Linked DNA regions of Drosophila melanogaster. The protein of the gene in region 2 purifies or fractionates together with the protein of the main gene of each other region. This does not show direct contact. Each region holds a gene or a part of one and is shown on either strand. Other genes may lie near its edges.

Region 1 (7,303 bases), about 11 Mb from region 2:
CTGCTCCGGCGGCAGGCAACGACGAACTATCCGGACCGGCAGTGAATCAGGCTGGAAACTAAGACTTCTACTGGGCCAACTGCTAATGGACCAACTGCTAAACCTGGACAAATTGTTAAGCTTTTATTTTCGAGAATCATCTGATTGTTTTGTATGATTGCGTTAGCAAATATCACAAGTGGCGCGATTGGTTCGGCCATCTGCATGCAAAGATGTGTACATTGCATTCATAATAATAATCTAAATTAATTATAACAATAAATCAATAAAACTATATGTGTATTTAAGGTCTTTACATAAACGAGAGTTCAATTTCTTCAAAAGTATGAAAAGGAAAAGGCAGCAATGTTCAAAAATCAAGACTATTTTTTTTTTTGGTTTGCTAAGAAAACAATTTATTTGATGTATTATAGCAAATACTTACACAATTTTATTAGCAGAAAAGTTATTTGCTGCAAAATAAATGAAGTAAAGATCGTTAGAAGTATTTTAGAATTCCATTTAAACAAACTTGCAGATTGAGTCACTTGTGCAAATGATATTCACATGGATTTTTGGACATTAATGGCAGCAAAATCACTAGAACAACTTTTTTTTTTAAATGCTAGTAGCAAAATAATTGTGACTTACGGCGACGATTTGTTTTAAGGGCATTTAGAATTGCATATATAAGCGGTTAAAAAGAAAGGACAAGAGCAACTTAATTGATAAGCATTTAAGGCAACGACTACGTATAACTAATTTGGTAGGCACCTCGTCTGAAAGTACTTCTCATCGACGAAGCGACAGAACTCGACCAAGTGCTGGAACTTCTGCACCGTTTGGGCCAGCGCCATGTTCGGCAGCGTGGTGGTCAGAATGCTGAAGAGGTGGCCGAAGGCGATGGCGTCCAGTTCGCAGGGCTGATCGCCGTAGAAGAATGGCGTTTCCGGCGACTCTTTCAGCTTGTATTCGAGCGTCTCACAGCACTTGGCCACCTTGTCAATGACGCTATCGATGTCCAGGTCGTCCCACTGATAGACCTTCAACAGACGCAGCGCGTTCCGCCGCTTTCCATAGTTCTGCATGTGATTGAGGGGCCAGGGAAAAACGACTCCGTTCCTGGGCGCTGTGACCTCTTTGTAGACGCGTTCGTTCTTGAAGCTAATGTACAGCTCAGCCATGGTGAAGATGTTCTCCACCAGCGACACATAGGTGCGCATGTCGGCCTTCTCGTCCTCGTCCTGCCAGCTGCCAATGGCCAGTTCCTTCTGCTCCACAAAGTTCACGATCGGCTCGAATTCGGCAAAGATGAATGCTCCTGCGCGGATGAAGGGCAACTTGGTCATCCTGCCGCCCGGCGACATGTGCTCCGCGTTGGCACAGGACCGAATCAAAAAGGGGAGGTTGCACATCTTCAGGTAAGCCTTCACAGCAAGGCAACTGGCGTTTTCCGGCAGTAGGATCTGTTCCGCTTCATACGGCTGTTTTTTTTAATGCACATTAATGAAAGGTTAATGTTAGTGAAGATTCTGGACCTATAAACCAGGACCTTACCTGGTAGAGGGTGGCGTCTTCGGGCCAGGGCTCGGCGGACAATTTGTCGGCCGTTATTAGCTGGCTCAGGTACTGGGATGTCATTGTAAATTAACGGAGTAAATTGTGTTTTTCAACTTGCACACCGAAATCGCCGATGAAGTAACAAGCAGCTGTTTGTCGGCGTTGCCAGACTGTTGCAGACAATGACCAAACAGCGATTCTTATTAGAAATTGCATTTCAGCAAGATTCGTTAAACTAATTAATAATTTCTTTTTAAACCCATACTTACAAAGTATAAAATAGATTTAGGGGAAGCTGTTTCAAAACTAAAAACTTTTTCGAAAAGCAAGTATTTTTGGACAGCAGTGTGAACGGATGACTTCTTCAAGTCCATCTCGCGTTTTGGTATTCTGTCCACCAAAGCATACGTTCACACTTGTAATTCTTATTTTATATTATTTGCTTTGTTTAAAAGTTAGTTATCAAAAGTTGTTAAAAATATAACATACAGTTACTTTTCAGTGATTAATTTTCAGAGATCGTACTATTTGATTAATTTCGCATATTAAAAGGTGAGTGCGCGTCGTTGCCAACTTGCAACTGTGTGTGTGTGTGAGTGCGGTGCCTTCCAATGCATTTTACATAAAAAAAATATTTATAATATTATTATATTAATTTAATACAAGCTGGCATTGATAGCAAATGTATGTAGTTGGGTGACTGCAGGCCAAGAACCACTCCCAAAAATTCTACTTGAAAATCAGTGACGATTCATGTGCCGGCCTCAGTGTGAGTGTGTGTGTGTGTGAGCTGGTGTGTGTGATTCATTCGTCTGGGGTTTTAACATTCTTCGTGCACATTTCTTTATCAAAAAAAGAGAAGAAAAAAAAGTGGCATGGTTCGTACTTTTCCCTGAATTATCCCCACACTTTGTCTTTGGCGGGGGGTCCTCTCTCTCTCTCTCTCTCTCTCTCTCTCTGGCAAGCCCTCTCGCTTGCACTTCCTTCGACGCTGGCACATTTGTTTGGAATTCAAATTTTCAGTTCGGTCAGATTGTTCTTGAAATTACCTTTTCTCACCCATCCTTAATTGTTGCGATTGTATTTATTGGCCCAAACTTGCGTTGTTAGTCCGAAAATTTTTTGTTTATTATTTTTTGCCATTCCCACACAAGCACGGAGAGAAATTGTGAGTGCTTTTCATATGCCTAATTTGGAAATATTACGATGAGATCTAAAAACCGATACTAAGATTCAAACTATTGATTTTTAAGCACCAATAATATTTACATTTACAAGTAAAAAACAGATAGATAGATAGATAAATATTTATTAGCTTTGAGAATTTCAAAATATGTTTTGTATAAAATTGAGAAATACATCATTATTACTACTGTATGTACACATGGGCCTGCAAAATCGTTTTGTATAGACACAATTTTATTACCTCAACAACAACTCGATGTCAAGTAATAACAATTCAATTTCATGTATTTTTTTTGCCCGGGTACACTGCATATGTATGTACATATATATAAAGCCAAATCTGGAGAATCGAGAATTATTATTGGCCCAACAACATTCGTTGAAAATGGACAGAGAGCTGGCGACGTGTATTTAGATAGTGGAAAACAAAGCAAGATAACAATAAAGCCATTTTCCGGGGGGCGGTGGGTTTGGCTTTTTGTCGCCAGTTCCCAGTTCTGGTCAATATTATTCAATGCCGATATCCGCTCTCTCTCCCTCCGTCGAGTTCGCCTGCCTTATCTAACTGCCGCTCCGTATTTGGTTGAACCTTTTTTTTTACTTTGCGAGCGGACCAGCTGCAGGTCGAGCGCCCCTCTCTGCCCCGCCCCCTAGACAGAGAACACGTCAGTTCATCAATGCGTTAATAATTGAAATTTAATCAATATTATTGAACGGGCTTATGAAGTGGCTACATTTGTTCGCAACGGAGGCACTCGTGTTGCCAAAAAAGTAAATAAACCCGCTTTATGGCCAGCGAATGATAACGTAATCAGTAGCGAAGTATATGGAATATGTTTGCGATCGTTGTTATTTGAATTTCAATATTTAACATTGTAATTTGTAGAAACAAATGTACTAACTACTCAACTATATATTTAGATGGCAGGTTTTTTTTTCGAATTTCTTCCCTGCATTGTTAAGTTATGAGCTCAACTCTCCTTAGGGCGACAATTTTCAGAAGAAAAAACACTCTTCCTACATTTTTTGAATGAGGAATACTTTCATACACTCCGATACGATGTAGCAGATATGGTGGCGCACATGCCATTAAAATGGAGGCATATACATATGTGTATAAAACAACATCATTATCGTCAAAATGTTACTCACACTACTAAAAATATGCCTATGACCCACAAGCTTCACCCAGAGAAACCGACGCATACTAAGCAAAATCCGAAGCAATATTTAAATGTAATTGATTGATAAACAAACAATTGCCTTTGGACAGTTCTAGGTTAGCAATCATGGCCGAAACAGAGACGAAGCACCATCCCGAGCACCACGACGACGATGTCCACGATGCCAACTACCAGGCGCCGCCGGAGAAGACCATCGAGGAAATAATGGCCGCCGATCAGGAGGATGAGAGCTTGCGGCGCTACAAGGAGGCGCTCCTGGGTGCCGCCCAGACCGAGAAAATTATTGTTGGTAAGGGGCGGTTAACTTGGCCTCTGAAAGTGGAGGGTGCAGAATATACTAAAGCAATAACATTTTTACCCAGAACCCAATGATCCCCGAAAAGTTATTGTAAAGAAACTGGCCCTCGTTGTCGAAGGACGCGACGACATGGAATTGGATCTTACCGGTGACCTTAGTCAGCTGAAAAAGCAGGTAAATATCATTAACCATCATCATCCATTCGACTACTTTTGTTAATCAAAACCCTATTGCGACAGCTTTTTGTGATCAAAGAAGGTGTTCAGTACAAGGTGCGCATTGATTTTATTGTGCAGCGTGAAATAGTCCATGGCCTTAAGTATGTTCAAAAGACTTCTCGCTTGGGTGTTAATGGTGAGTATTTAAACATGACATTTGTATTTTTAATTGGCAGAATATAGAATAGATTTACACTCTCAATTCTATCAACATTATATGTCTTTACTTAGGGCAAAGCAATTATATTTCTTTTTTGTCCTACCCTAATTTTCTATTAATTGATTTATTTATTTACTGACCTAGTGCCCTAGTATTGTAAGAATAAAATTAAATTAAAACCGGGTCAAAAGATACTTGTTTTTAGTTATTTTCCATACGTTACACTATGCGAGCACTTCTAGGTCTTCAATTTTCCGTGCTGACGCGAAATCGTTAGTATTACACCTCAGTTTTTGATTGACTTTTGTGCGGGCTAGTCGAGTTTTGTTTCTAGCAATGGGTAAAAGCTGGTTCAATGGCACAACCATACTGGTGGGATTTTGCAGTGCTGCCTATATCCTTTTTTTCACAATTGCCATACTAACTTTAGTCATGTGTTGAGAATAACTTGTATTCCATTATCTCCAATGCCAAACCCTAATTTCGGAATGTATAATTTTTTAAGTTGTGGGTAAGCTGGTGCAGCCCATCCGCAAATGTGTATCCTTACTAAACTGACTGTTTTCGCATTACTCCATAGTTGACAAGATGAAGCATATGGTTGGCTCCTATCCGCCGAAGAAGGAGATTCAGTTCTATTTGACGCCCGCCGAGGAGGCACCTTCAGGCACATTCTCCCGCGGCACCTACTCGGTCAGTTCGGTCTTCACGGATGACGACAAGCACATACACCTGGAGTGGGACTGGACCTTTGAGATCAAAAAGGACTGGGCCTAATTGGCACACCGAACAGCACACAACAAACACACACGACACACAACTTACAACATACATCATACGCTTTTTGTTTTCCCTCAAACATGCCTTGTAAATGAGTTTAGTTTTGTTCCAAAAGTGTAAGCGAATTTTTCCAAAAGTGTAATTGATCGTCAAGTATTTTTGTTAACGGTATTAAATTTTAAATATTTTTGTAACTAAAGTGTAATGTAAAGCCATGATAAGTATTTTTGATACCCTATTTGCAATTGGAATGTGTGCAGATGAAGAGCATTTTTCGCCTAAGTCCTCCTCAATGAGAGTCAAGTCAAAACCAAGTCAAGTCACTAGGCCAGTCAGTCAGTCAGTCAGCCAACCAGTCAGTCAGACAGTCAGTCGTTTGGTTCTTAATGCCATTGCCTATGTTTAACATACATTTTCAAACAGATTAACAATTGAGTAATTAACTTTAAGAAAGTTGTTTGCATTTCGCTGTGTATTTCAAATTGAAGAATGGAATAGTTTATTGTAAGAACAAGTCGCCTCAAAACTAAAAAGAAACCGATTAAAATCGTGCAACACGAACTGTTAAATGCAACTAAAGCTGATGCTTTATTATGCATTTGAAGTTTGTGCAACATGGAGTTACTTAAATCCACATTATTCTAACTATATATCTCTGTGTATTTTTTGTGTACAACATACCATATATGCGAAAGCTGATTGAATGCAACCGAAGAGCAATAAAGAATAAAGGATACATATTTTAAAATAAATGCCTAAGTGAGCGAATTCTTTTTCCATGATATGGGTATCCCATAAATTATAGTGGCAGTGTGTGCACAGATTTCTCCGTAGCCAAAGATAAGTTGACTTCACACTTTATAATGCTTATCAGCTTACATTGCCAAGGGGCAAACGTCATAAATTGTGGCCAGCAGAGCGAGTATTACTCATCCGCCCTGTGAACGGTCACCAAATATTTTTCAAGGTGTACAAAAGAGAGAATTTGTGAAACACACTTCTCTGTTTACATTCGCAACCAGCAACAAGTGGCCAGCCTCTTGTTGCGCCAGACATTAGCAGCATGTTGCCCAACAATCGCCGCTTCAGAACAGAAAATAATAATAACCGCATTTTATATTCCAACGCACATTTGTCTTCAGAGTCGCGAAAACCTGCATGAATAAGCAAGTTACTTTTTCGGAAATTGCTATAGTTGCCAGCAGAAAAATGGTGTAATTTAAGAAAAACAAATCATTTGTGTTTTCGGTAAATGGCCTGGGGCATTCGTATGTTTTTTGGGGTCCTTTAAGGGTGCGATTTTCCAGGATGTGGAACAAAACAATCAGAAAAATAAGTACACACTGTTTTCATTACGTGAGAAGTAATTACAGGTAAGCAACTAACAAAAACTTACATGTATACATAAGAGAAGTCTTGCTTGTTTCGCCATTTTCATATATTTCCTCATAGCAAAAAATTATATATACTATATCTTTTAATTCACTCAAATGGTTTAGCAGATATATGTCTTTTGGTATGGCCGTTCAGCTCGACTACTCTTAACATTACCTTTGAAATACCAATATTTTTGCATCAAACAGGAACGTCTATCTCTGTCCGTCGAGGATGTTTTGATTGACAGACGGCCCGTCGAATTTCAGCCTTCAATCGCATTGTTCAATCCGACATTCCAACATTCCGCACTCCCCATTGTGTGGCAATGTGGCCTTTTGGCCCAATGCTGCCAATTGTCCCGCCGCTGCACCTTTATGGTCCATTGCATCCGGGCTGGGGCTCAATGAAATTTGCAGCAAAGCTGCTGAGCCAATGGAAAAAACAGGAGCCGTCCAGAATGCGGATAATAAAGTAGAAATGAAATGCAATCAAAGAGCAGGCCAGAAAGCGCAACAGGCAAAGTGCTCACACAGCACACGCAAGCGGAAATGCGAATGGTGGC
Region 2 (4,971 bases):
AGGCTCCGTGTACGCAGGAACTCCGCCTGAACCTCGGCCTCCATGTAGAAGGCCATCACAGCCGGATCTCGTTTCATGCGTTCCAGCCAAAGGGTCTGAAAAATGGTATACTAATGTACTTCATCACTCCTGGGATACACGGACCTGCTCACCAGCTGGGGGAAGCGACTCTGATCGTAGTTATAATCCTCTCCACGCTGCAACTTAAGGAGCTCGAGGCGCTCACACCAGGGCCAAATCATATAGTCCAGAATGCCCGTCTGCTCGCCACCAAAGAATTCCGTACCACGTCGAGCCAGCTCCCTTTCGTAGATGTCCAGGCCGCTCCAGAAGGGCTCCAGATCACCGCCATCGGATGCCTTGAAGAAGGCACCTAACACCGCTCTAAATCGCTCGATTAGTAACTTGTCCTGCACTTTCTTCAGCGGATCACGTGGATAGAGTGGTCGCAATGGATACTGCTCGTCCAGATATTCACAAATCAGTAGCGACTCTGTGAGCACAGGTGGTCCAGGTTCTCGCACGATTTCTAGAGCCGGCACCTTGCCCTGTGGATTCTTCTCCAGCAGCCACTCCGGCTTGTCTGTGAGATTAATGTAGATGCTGTGATACGGGATCTGCTTGGCGTCCAGGACCAGATGCACCCGTTGGGCAAATGGGCAGAAGCGCATCGAGTACAGGCGAAGGATACCATCTTCGGGAACATCCGGCATGGGTGAGCCTAGTGGGCGCATTTATTATCAATTATGATTATCCTGGTTTCCTGGCTCTACCCACCTTTTGCCAAATGCCTGCCGTTACTCATGATGTGCGTGCTCGGGTCCAGAGATGCAAGTGGTGATAGCGATTGTCATTCGAGTGATTTATAAAGTGCAGCTCACTGCCCTTCGCCGGTTGGCTTCGCTTACGCGGCTGAACTTGGTGGCTTGCGGCTGACACACATACCAAGCCATGTGGATACAGTGAAGCCCCCTTGCAACCTGCATATTGCTCCAAAATATTTGTTTAAAACAAAACTTTTTAAGAACTAAGTTTTTCGAACCACGTTCTGTGAATCTGGAACGGAATTCTTGCCTTTCTAGCCTTAATTCATTTCTTTGTCACATAAAATATTTTAGTTTTTATTGTTTTTAGAACATTATTAAATCTCCTTTGTTATATAATAGTTTCATTTTCAGTACCGATCTAAGCCAGCAGATCGTAGTTTGCATTGCCGGCCTTGCGGGTGCGCCAGAACTCGTTGTGCTGCTCGGGAGTGGCATAGAAGGACTGCACCACCGAGTCCGCCTTCAGGAGGGCAATCCACTTGGTGATCTTCGGGAAACGACTCTCGTTGAAGTTGTACTCCTTCTGCAACTTCAACTCGATTACAGAGAGGCGTTCGAACCAGGGCCAGATCATGTAGTCCACGAATCCCGGCTTGTTGCCGCCAAAATATGGGGTGCCCCGCTTGGTCAACTCCTCCTCAAAGATATCAAGTGCCGTCCAGTAATCCTCCAGACCGGTGCCCTGCACAAGGATGTTTATGAAGGCACTGGTGATGCTGCTGAAACGTTCCAGCAGAATCTTGTCCTGTGCCCGCTTCAATGGGTCCTTGGGCAGCAACGGATTCTCCGGGTACTTATCGTCCAGATACTCGGCAATAATCAGCGACTCGATGAGCGAGGGCTCACCCTTCTCCGCCACCAGCTGCAGGGCAGGCACCTTAAGCAACGGACTCACTTCCACCAGCCACTCTGGTTTCTCGGTGAGATTGATGTAGACACTGTGATAGGGCACATTCTTGGCGTTCAGGACGAGATGAGCCCGCTGAGCGTAGGGACAGAACCTCATGGAGTACAGGCGAAGGACTCCATCGTCAGGGAGTACAGGCTTGGGGGAACCTAAAGATAGAATTTATTTACCAGTTAAATTTAGGTTATACAAATAAATCAATAACTTCATGAGTCACTTGTGGAACCCTAAAATCCACCCCTGTATTATTATTTGTTTAGCAAGTCATTGCACTTAAGTTAATGTTGATAGGGCCCAGTCGTGATAAAGCTCAAATTTTGTAGCTACGTTATCTTTTAGAGTGTAAATATTATGGGTTATCTGATATCGGGGTGAAAGCTATAGCTAAAAATGTAAGTAAATTTTACAAATCAAATAATTAATTTAATGCATTACCTACAATTGTAAAAGAATAAAGATCGTATTGAAATTTACCAAATAATATACCTTTCTAACTTTTTAACCAAAAAATCCCAGTTATTCATGCCAATATTCTTTAACATTATGAAATATAAAAATCGTTATTCGATAATTACGCTGAATGTTGGAGAACTTGTTTTATAAATAATACTATAAACACTCTAATGACATGGGCGTTTCTCTTGGCGGCGGCGACAACTGGTTTTGCTTGCTCTCTTACCTTTGGCCAAATGTTTACCAGAACTCATTTTGTTTAATTGCAGAACTGAACAAATTCGCTTAACTGTTGAAATGTCGACGGTGAAATGCGAACTGAGTTTTCTCTTCGACGGCGCTCTGTTTATATAAAGTTTTTTGTTTGTGTTTTAACGCGAATAAGAATAATCGAGCTTTTTGCGACGTGACTCTTAGTTTTCGTTAGCTTTTAAAAACGATTTCTCATCGCAGACGTTTATTTCGATTTAAAACGCTTTACTACATTTGCGATTTGTTTTGTGGGAAGAGACAATCATTTCCTCCGCATTATACATAGTACATCTACTTAGTTTGTTAATAATCACGCCTGTTTGTAAATATAGATATATTTTGTTTTTACATGGTTTGGGGGGAGCTTTATTTTTGTTTTTAATTGAACCTCGGAACTACTACGTACATTTAGAGTTTTAAGTTTATGAACTTTTCGTAAAAAGTTTCGATCGGCGGACTTTCGAAATCAAACTTAATCTATGTACAAAAAAGTTCTCGAAATTTCCGTTCATGCCTTACAAAAAATACAAAAAAGTATTAATACATATACAACAGAGTTGCTGACATCATTGAGTCGCGATAAATAGTTGTTATCAGTAATTGCATTCGAAAAACCAAATTGGAAAGTAATAAATAATGACAACTACACTTGCTGCTGGAATTAATTGTTTATCAAAATGTAAAAAGATCCTTTCGCTGCTTTTGGTCCTACAAATGGGATTTCTTTTGATGCATCCTTTTGAAAACTCAAGTGGATGATTAATTTTTAGTTTTTAATTCATTTTAAAAATGTCCGCAAATGGTAAACATTAAAATTTAATGATTAAACTGTATCGTTTTTTTTCCCGAATCAATTGCGCGTTGTTGTTACGGTAAATACATGGGATAAATAGCTAAAACTAAGTAAATACGTACACTTAAAAAAATTCTACACACTGGAGTTAAATGTTGCTTTGCTTTCGTTTCTGAATTTCTTGCTTTGTCTTGTTTTGCATCGTTGCCTGACGATTTCCATTCTAAGTTTCGTTTATAGTTTCGTTAATTTTTTTTTGTTCGCAATTTGTATTTTGTTTGTTGCTCTATAAAATATGCAAACTGGTTGCATTTTGATCACGGTTCTTGCTGTTGCATATAAACATCCATCTCACTTTTGATTATTGGAACGACTTGAGATTTTTGAAAATGAATGAAGAATATGGCTGTTTTCAAATTTATCCATGGGCATCCGGTTTCGAATCCTTCAGCTTCATTCGCCAATGGTCCAATGGTTCTTTGAAGTTGATCCCTATGGCTGGCCTTAGCCATTCGGTGAGGTGGATGCTCCAGGAGATGTGGTTGTGGCCACTGCATCGCTGTTGCTCATCTTGTGCAGCATGAGGGAGTGCGTCGATCTGGTGGCGGTGGAGCTGGGATACTTTGGCTGCATTTGGCTGTTGGACACTGTGGAAGAGCTGCTGGTCGCCGGCGGTGGCGGTGGCTGCTGGCTGCAAGTGAACAGAGTTCATCAGTGTGCTTTTGCTAGCCCTTAGGACACACACCCCTTCTGCTCGCCATCCTTCTTGCTGTTGAACATGGCCAACTCGATCTCCGTGTGCTGGCTGTTCATGTGGCGCACCCACTCCGCCGGCGTATCAAAGGATCTGCACATGGGAAAGGGAGTTAGTATATATTTTGCTTCTATAACTCCAAACACTTACGTGGAACACAAATCGCAGAGCAGAGTTACGTGATCGTGATCCATATTGTTCTCCTGTTGCTGAAAAACACAATATATAATCTGGTTTTAATACATCCAATAGATATTGGTAACCGATCATCACTACGAGTTAAAATCATACTTCAGTAGATTTGGATTTATTAAAGGGATGAGTTGCTGTCCAAGTACTCACCGAAACGCGACGTCGTTTCTTTGGCACATAGGTTTTAACAGATCGCAGGGCGAGGTTGCTGGAGGCGGATGTGGTGCTCCCGCTGGCACTGGATGGCAGGAGATTCCTCTCCGTGCCGCCCGTGGGATCGCCGGCATGTGTGCCCAGGTGACGGACCAGCATTTTGGTGTCCTCGAAGGACTTCTGACAGATCTCGCAGACCAGCAGCTGCTTGAAGTTGTTATAGTCGCGCAGCGTGTGCTCCTCGCTCTCCTCGGAGGGTGTTCCGCGATCCCTATTCACCTCCAGCTTCACGGCGGACATCTTGAAGTCGAGTGGCTGCTTGGGCGAAGCCAATGGCAACTCCTCCAGATTGTTGTTGTTGGACGCACTGGAGGCGTTTGGTGGGTTGTTGCTCCAGTCGGTCGGCTCCTGTTTGATGGTGAGGAAGTTGTGCGGATGTCGAAGGGTCGGCGGATGTGATGGTGGTGCCTGCTGTGGTGGTGGCGGAGGTGTGGCTGCCAGGCGAGAGGATACCACGTGCTCAAAGTGTGGTGCTTCATAGTAGTCCCGAGCTGAGGGGAATAAAACATGGGATTAGTCATCATTAGCAGCTGTGCTGAGTACTCTTACTCACATCTTTCGCATGCGCTCTCCCTCCTCA
Region 3 (3,584 bases), on a different chromosome or scaffold from region 2:
CAGAAGCATATTTCTACAAAATAGGCATGATGAGAATGAACTTGATTTATTTTATACATTTAATGAACTATAGCTATTTTTCACAAGCTGAAGCAAATAAATTATACCAGTTATCATACAAACCCAAACGCAACTCTCACTGCAAGTTGGTTGAATGTTGCACAGTGCAGATCGGTGGGCGGCGAATGCCTCCAACTGGGGCGTTATGGGCACGCGGCTGACCTCCGGAGCGCTCGATGCGTCGCGGGTCAAGCGGAACCGTTGCGCCAAAAGGCAACCAAGGATGGCTGCAAAACAATTAAAAGCACGCAGCGCACCTTCCAGCGTCTAATTACAAATTGGAGTCATTGAATTTATTAAAATCGGCCGCGTAAATTGTGCAGCAATGCACTTGAGACACGCAAACTGATATTGTGGGCCATCGCCGGTTGGCGCTTCTTGGCTCTCATTACTCGGTCATAACTCACTGCGCCTGTCCGGTTGGTTCAAGTATCCCTAGCCACTTGAAAACCCATAAAGCCAAGTCGGCTTCCTCTTGCAGAAACATAATTGCTCGACTTCTGTTCAGCAAACTCCTTTTTTATGAAGATCTAAAGCGGTTTGTATACATACTCCGTTGGAAGTAAGTACTTCTAGTTACTAGAATATAGTTAGCACCAAGCGTTAACCTTTCGCGGCCCTTCATGCCTACTTAAATATGCAATACAAGTTACAGCTGTACATATGTATGTATATTAACCTTAAACTAGATCCATAATTCTGGATGGATGGTCAGTGCAATTTTTTGAAAAAGCCAAAATGAAGACACATCCCATTCATTGCCTAAATATGGAAATGAATTGTAAATAATTTATGTATGTTTCGATAACATTACTCCTGATACATTTTAGTAAAAGGTCCTTAGTAAAGACATTTAGTTAAAATTGGTTGGCTTGATGAAAATCGATATAAATATTTAGCTCAGAAATTGCGTGCATAAAAAAGTATTCAAAGGATATAAGTTATTTACCAGTTACCTCATAAGTGAGGAATAATTGTTTAAGCTGCCTGAAAAACCTAACACAAATTTTTTAAATAAAGAAAAATAAAAGCCTTTTAGAAATAACATGCCAAAAGTATGCAATGCATATCCAGGAAATCTAGTGATCCACCATCCACCAGTCAATCTAATGACACTATGGGAAACATTTCTTCGTAGATTTGCGGTTTTAATAGATAAAAATATACCAATACATTAACATATTTCACTTAAGGATACAGAATGAAACTCTTTGATAGTGACCATGAAGGGATTAAGAATGCGGCAATAGTTCCTCGTTTACGTAGCAACAGGAGCCGGAGCAGCTCCCTCCGGTTCGGCAGCCTTTTCTCCGTTGCCGTTCTGCGCCTTGGCTGCCGGCAGATCCTTGACTCCGGTGGAACCGAATCCTGCCTCGCCGCGCTCGGTGTCCTCCAGTTTGTCCACCATCACCAGTTGCGGATAGAAGATACGCTCGCAAATGAACTGGGCGATGCGGTCGCCATGCTTCACCTCGAAATCAACATCTGAGTGATTGAACAGGACGACGCCGAGATTGCCGCGATAATCCTCGTCCACCACACCGGCGCCCACATCAATGAAGTTCTTCACCGCCAGCCCGGATCGTGGGGCTACGCGTCCGTAGGAGCCCTCCGGAACCTGCACTTGCAGATCGGTCTTGACAATGGCCTTTCCGCGTGCCGGCACCACAACGTCGTAGGCGCTGCGCAGGTCAACTCCCGCCGCTTTGGCGGATCCCCTCACCGGCTCCAAAGCATTCTCGGTGAGTTTGGCGAATCGCAGGACGCACGTGTCGATCTTCATCTTCTTGGCAGCTGGAATGTCGGCGAAATCGGTTGATGGCATTTGGAGCAAATTGAGTTATTACAGGAATGCTTCGAAAGTACAGAGACTTTTTTCAGCTTACTTGCAGAATTCTGGTCTGAAAATAACGCGGTTTAACACAGCGTCGGAAAATTGGCGGACTTCCAGTGTTGCAAGATACCAAAAGTACAAATCGCCGAAAATCTACCAAAAAATCTTAAGTCAGCTTTGCATTTCTAAAAAACATATATACAACTATGCCTTGAGTTTAATTAAACAAATAATAAATAAAACAATAATTTAGGCATTAATAAATAAATCAAATTGATTTTATTAAGTAAAACGACCAATCACAACCAACCCTGATAAGCAACCCTATCGATATATCGATACTATTGTAGTTGATTAACACACCTCTATTTAGCACGTTGTTTTGAAAAATTCACTTGATGCGTTAATGTTAATGTGTTGATAACTGCAACTTTAAATCATGGCGAACACTTATTTCGATGAGTATGAAAACTTGGAGGTAAATAAGATTATAGATCTTCTTGTGAAACTGTACTCATAGTGACCAAACTACAGATCCACGAGCTCATGCTGAAGGATCGTCCTCGGCAAGAAGCCTACTACAATGCGATATTGGGGAATAAGGATCTGTTCAAGGACAAGATCGTAATGGATGTTGGTGCCGGCACAGGGATTCTGTCCGCCTTTTGTGCGAAAGCAGGAGCCCGTTTGGTCTACGCCGTAGAAGCATCCAATGTGGCCACCAAAGTTGCGCTGGATTTGATTGAGGATAACGGCCTGACGAACGTGGTGAAGGTGATCCAGTCGCGTGTTGAGGAATTCGTACTGCCTGCCGAGGCGGAAAAGGTGGACATCATTGTGTCCGAGTGGATGGGCTTCTACCTGCTGCACGAGGGCATGTTGGACTCGGTTCTCCTGGCCCGGGACAAGTTCCTCAAGGAGGGTGGACTCCTGTTCCCCAGCGAGTGCACAATTTTCGTGGCACCCTGCTCGGTACCATCGCTCTTCGATGATTGGCACAACGTGGACGGCATCAAAATGGACACGTTTGCCAGAAAACTCAGAACCCAAAAGTCATCCCGACCGGAGATTACACAGCTGAATCCGCAAGATCTTCTGCACGAGGGCGTCGTCTTTCACTGGATGAATCTGCTGGATGTGGAAGCCAGCGATTTGGACAGCATTCAGTTCAAGGAGGTAATAACAGCCCAGAAGGCGGGCAATCACCAGGGCTTCTGCATTTGGTTCGATGTACAGTTTCCTGGCGAAGATTTTGTTCTAAGCACATCGCCGCTATCCCCGCCAACGCATTGGAAGCAGTGTGTAGTCGTCCTGCCCGAGGAATCCTGCGAAAATCTGGAGGAGAAGTCACCCATTGCATTTCAAATCACAATGAAGCGCAGTGCTGCCGATATGCGTAAATACAATCTGGAGGTGGATTTGCTAGACCCCAACACAGAGGAGCATCCAGTGCCTTGCTCCTGTCACATGACGAAGTGCATTCTGACGGAAGCTCATCTAAAAATGATGGACACCTCATGAGTTACATGCCATCTCGGAATCCGAACAACGATCTGTGGGGAAATCAATTTATTTAACATGTTTAATACAAATACAATATATATCTCAGTCAAACTTAACGTCTAGTCCAGCACTTTCAAAAATTTAATTAAAATAACGCAGGCCGACGGCTTTAAATCAACAACCGCTG

Evidence for each region. The genes of interacting proteins can lie anywhere in the genome.
Region 1: the proteins of GstO3 (region 2) and RhoGDI purify together in Drosophila melanogaster (affinity purification with mass spectrometry, with the first as the bait; one large-scale study listed by BioGRID). This does not show direct contact.
Region 3: the proteins of GstO3 (region 2) and dUTPase purify together in Drosophila melanogaster (affinity purification with mass spectrometry, with the first as the bait; one large-scale study listed by BioGRID). This does not show direct contact.

The regions. Positions count from the first base shown.
Region 1 is NT_037436.4:19,926,818-19,934,120, forward strand, and holds RhoGDI (RhoGDI), read left to right. Parts: upstream 1-1,925; 5' UTR 1,926-2,091; intron 2,092-3,997; 5' UTR 3,998-4,013; coding exon 4,014-4,197; intron 4,198-4,270; coding exon 4,271-4,380; intron 4,381-4,445; coding exon 4,446-4,560; intron 4,561-4,873; exon of another isoform or gene 4,874-4,920; coding exon of another isoform or gene 4,921-5,025; exon of another isoform or gene 5,026-5,095; intron 5,096-5,164; coding exon 5,165-5,361; 3' UTR 5,362-6,113; downstream 6,114-7,303. Other genes in the region: Grasp65, read left to right, coding at 1-62; CG8004 (uncharacterized protein), read right to left, coding at 738-1,463, 1,537-1,620; CG46462 (uncharacterized protein), read left to right, coding at 4,921-5,025.
Region 2 is NT_037436.4:8,516,424-8,521,394, reverse strand, and holds GstO3 (glutathione S transferase O3), read right to left. Parts: upstream 2,511-4,971; 5' UTR 2,442-2,510; coding exon 2,414-2,441; intron 1,884-2,413; coding exon 1,186-1,883; 3' UTR 1,100-1,185; downstream 1-1,099. Other genes in the region: se (sepia), read right to left, coding at 1-95, 153-721, 778-805; CG6765 (uncharacterized protein), read right to left, coding at 3,737-3,923, 3,978-4,079, 4,137-4,195, 4,329-4,882, 4,945-4,971.
Region 3 is NT_033779.5:11,009,742-11,013,325, reverse strand, and holds dUTPase (deoxyuridine triphosphatase), read right to left. Parts: upstream 2,015-3,584; 5' UTR 1,886-2,014; coding exon 1,319-1,885; 3' UTR 1,191-1,318; downstream 1-1,190. Other genes in the region: Art8 (arginine methyltransferase 8), read left to right, coding at 2,334-2,372, 2,429-3,415; Nup154 (nucleoporin 154kD), read right to left, coding at 3,567-3,584.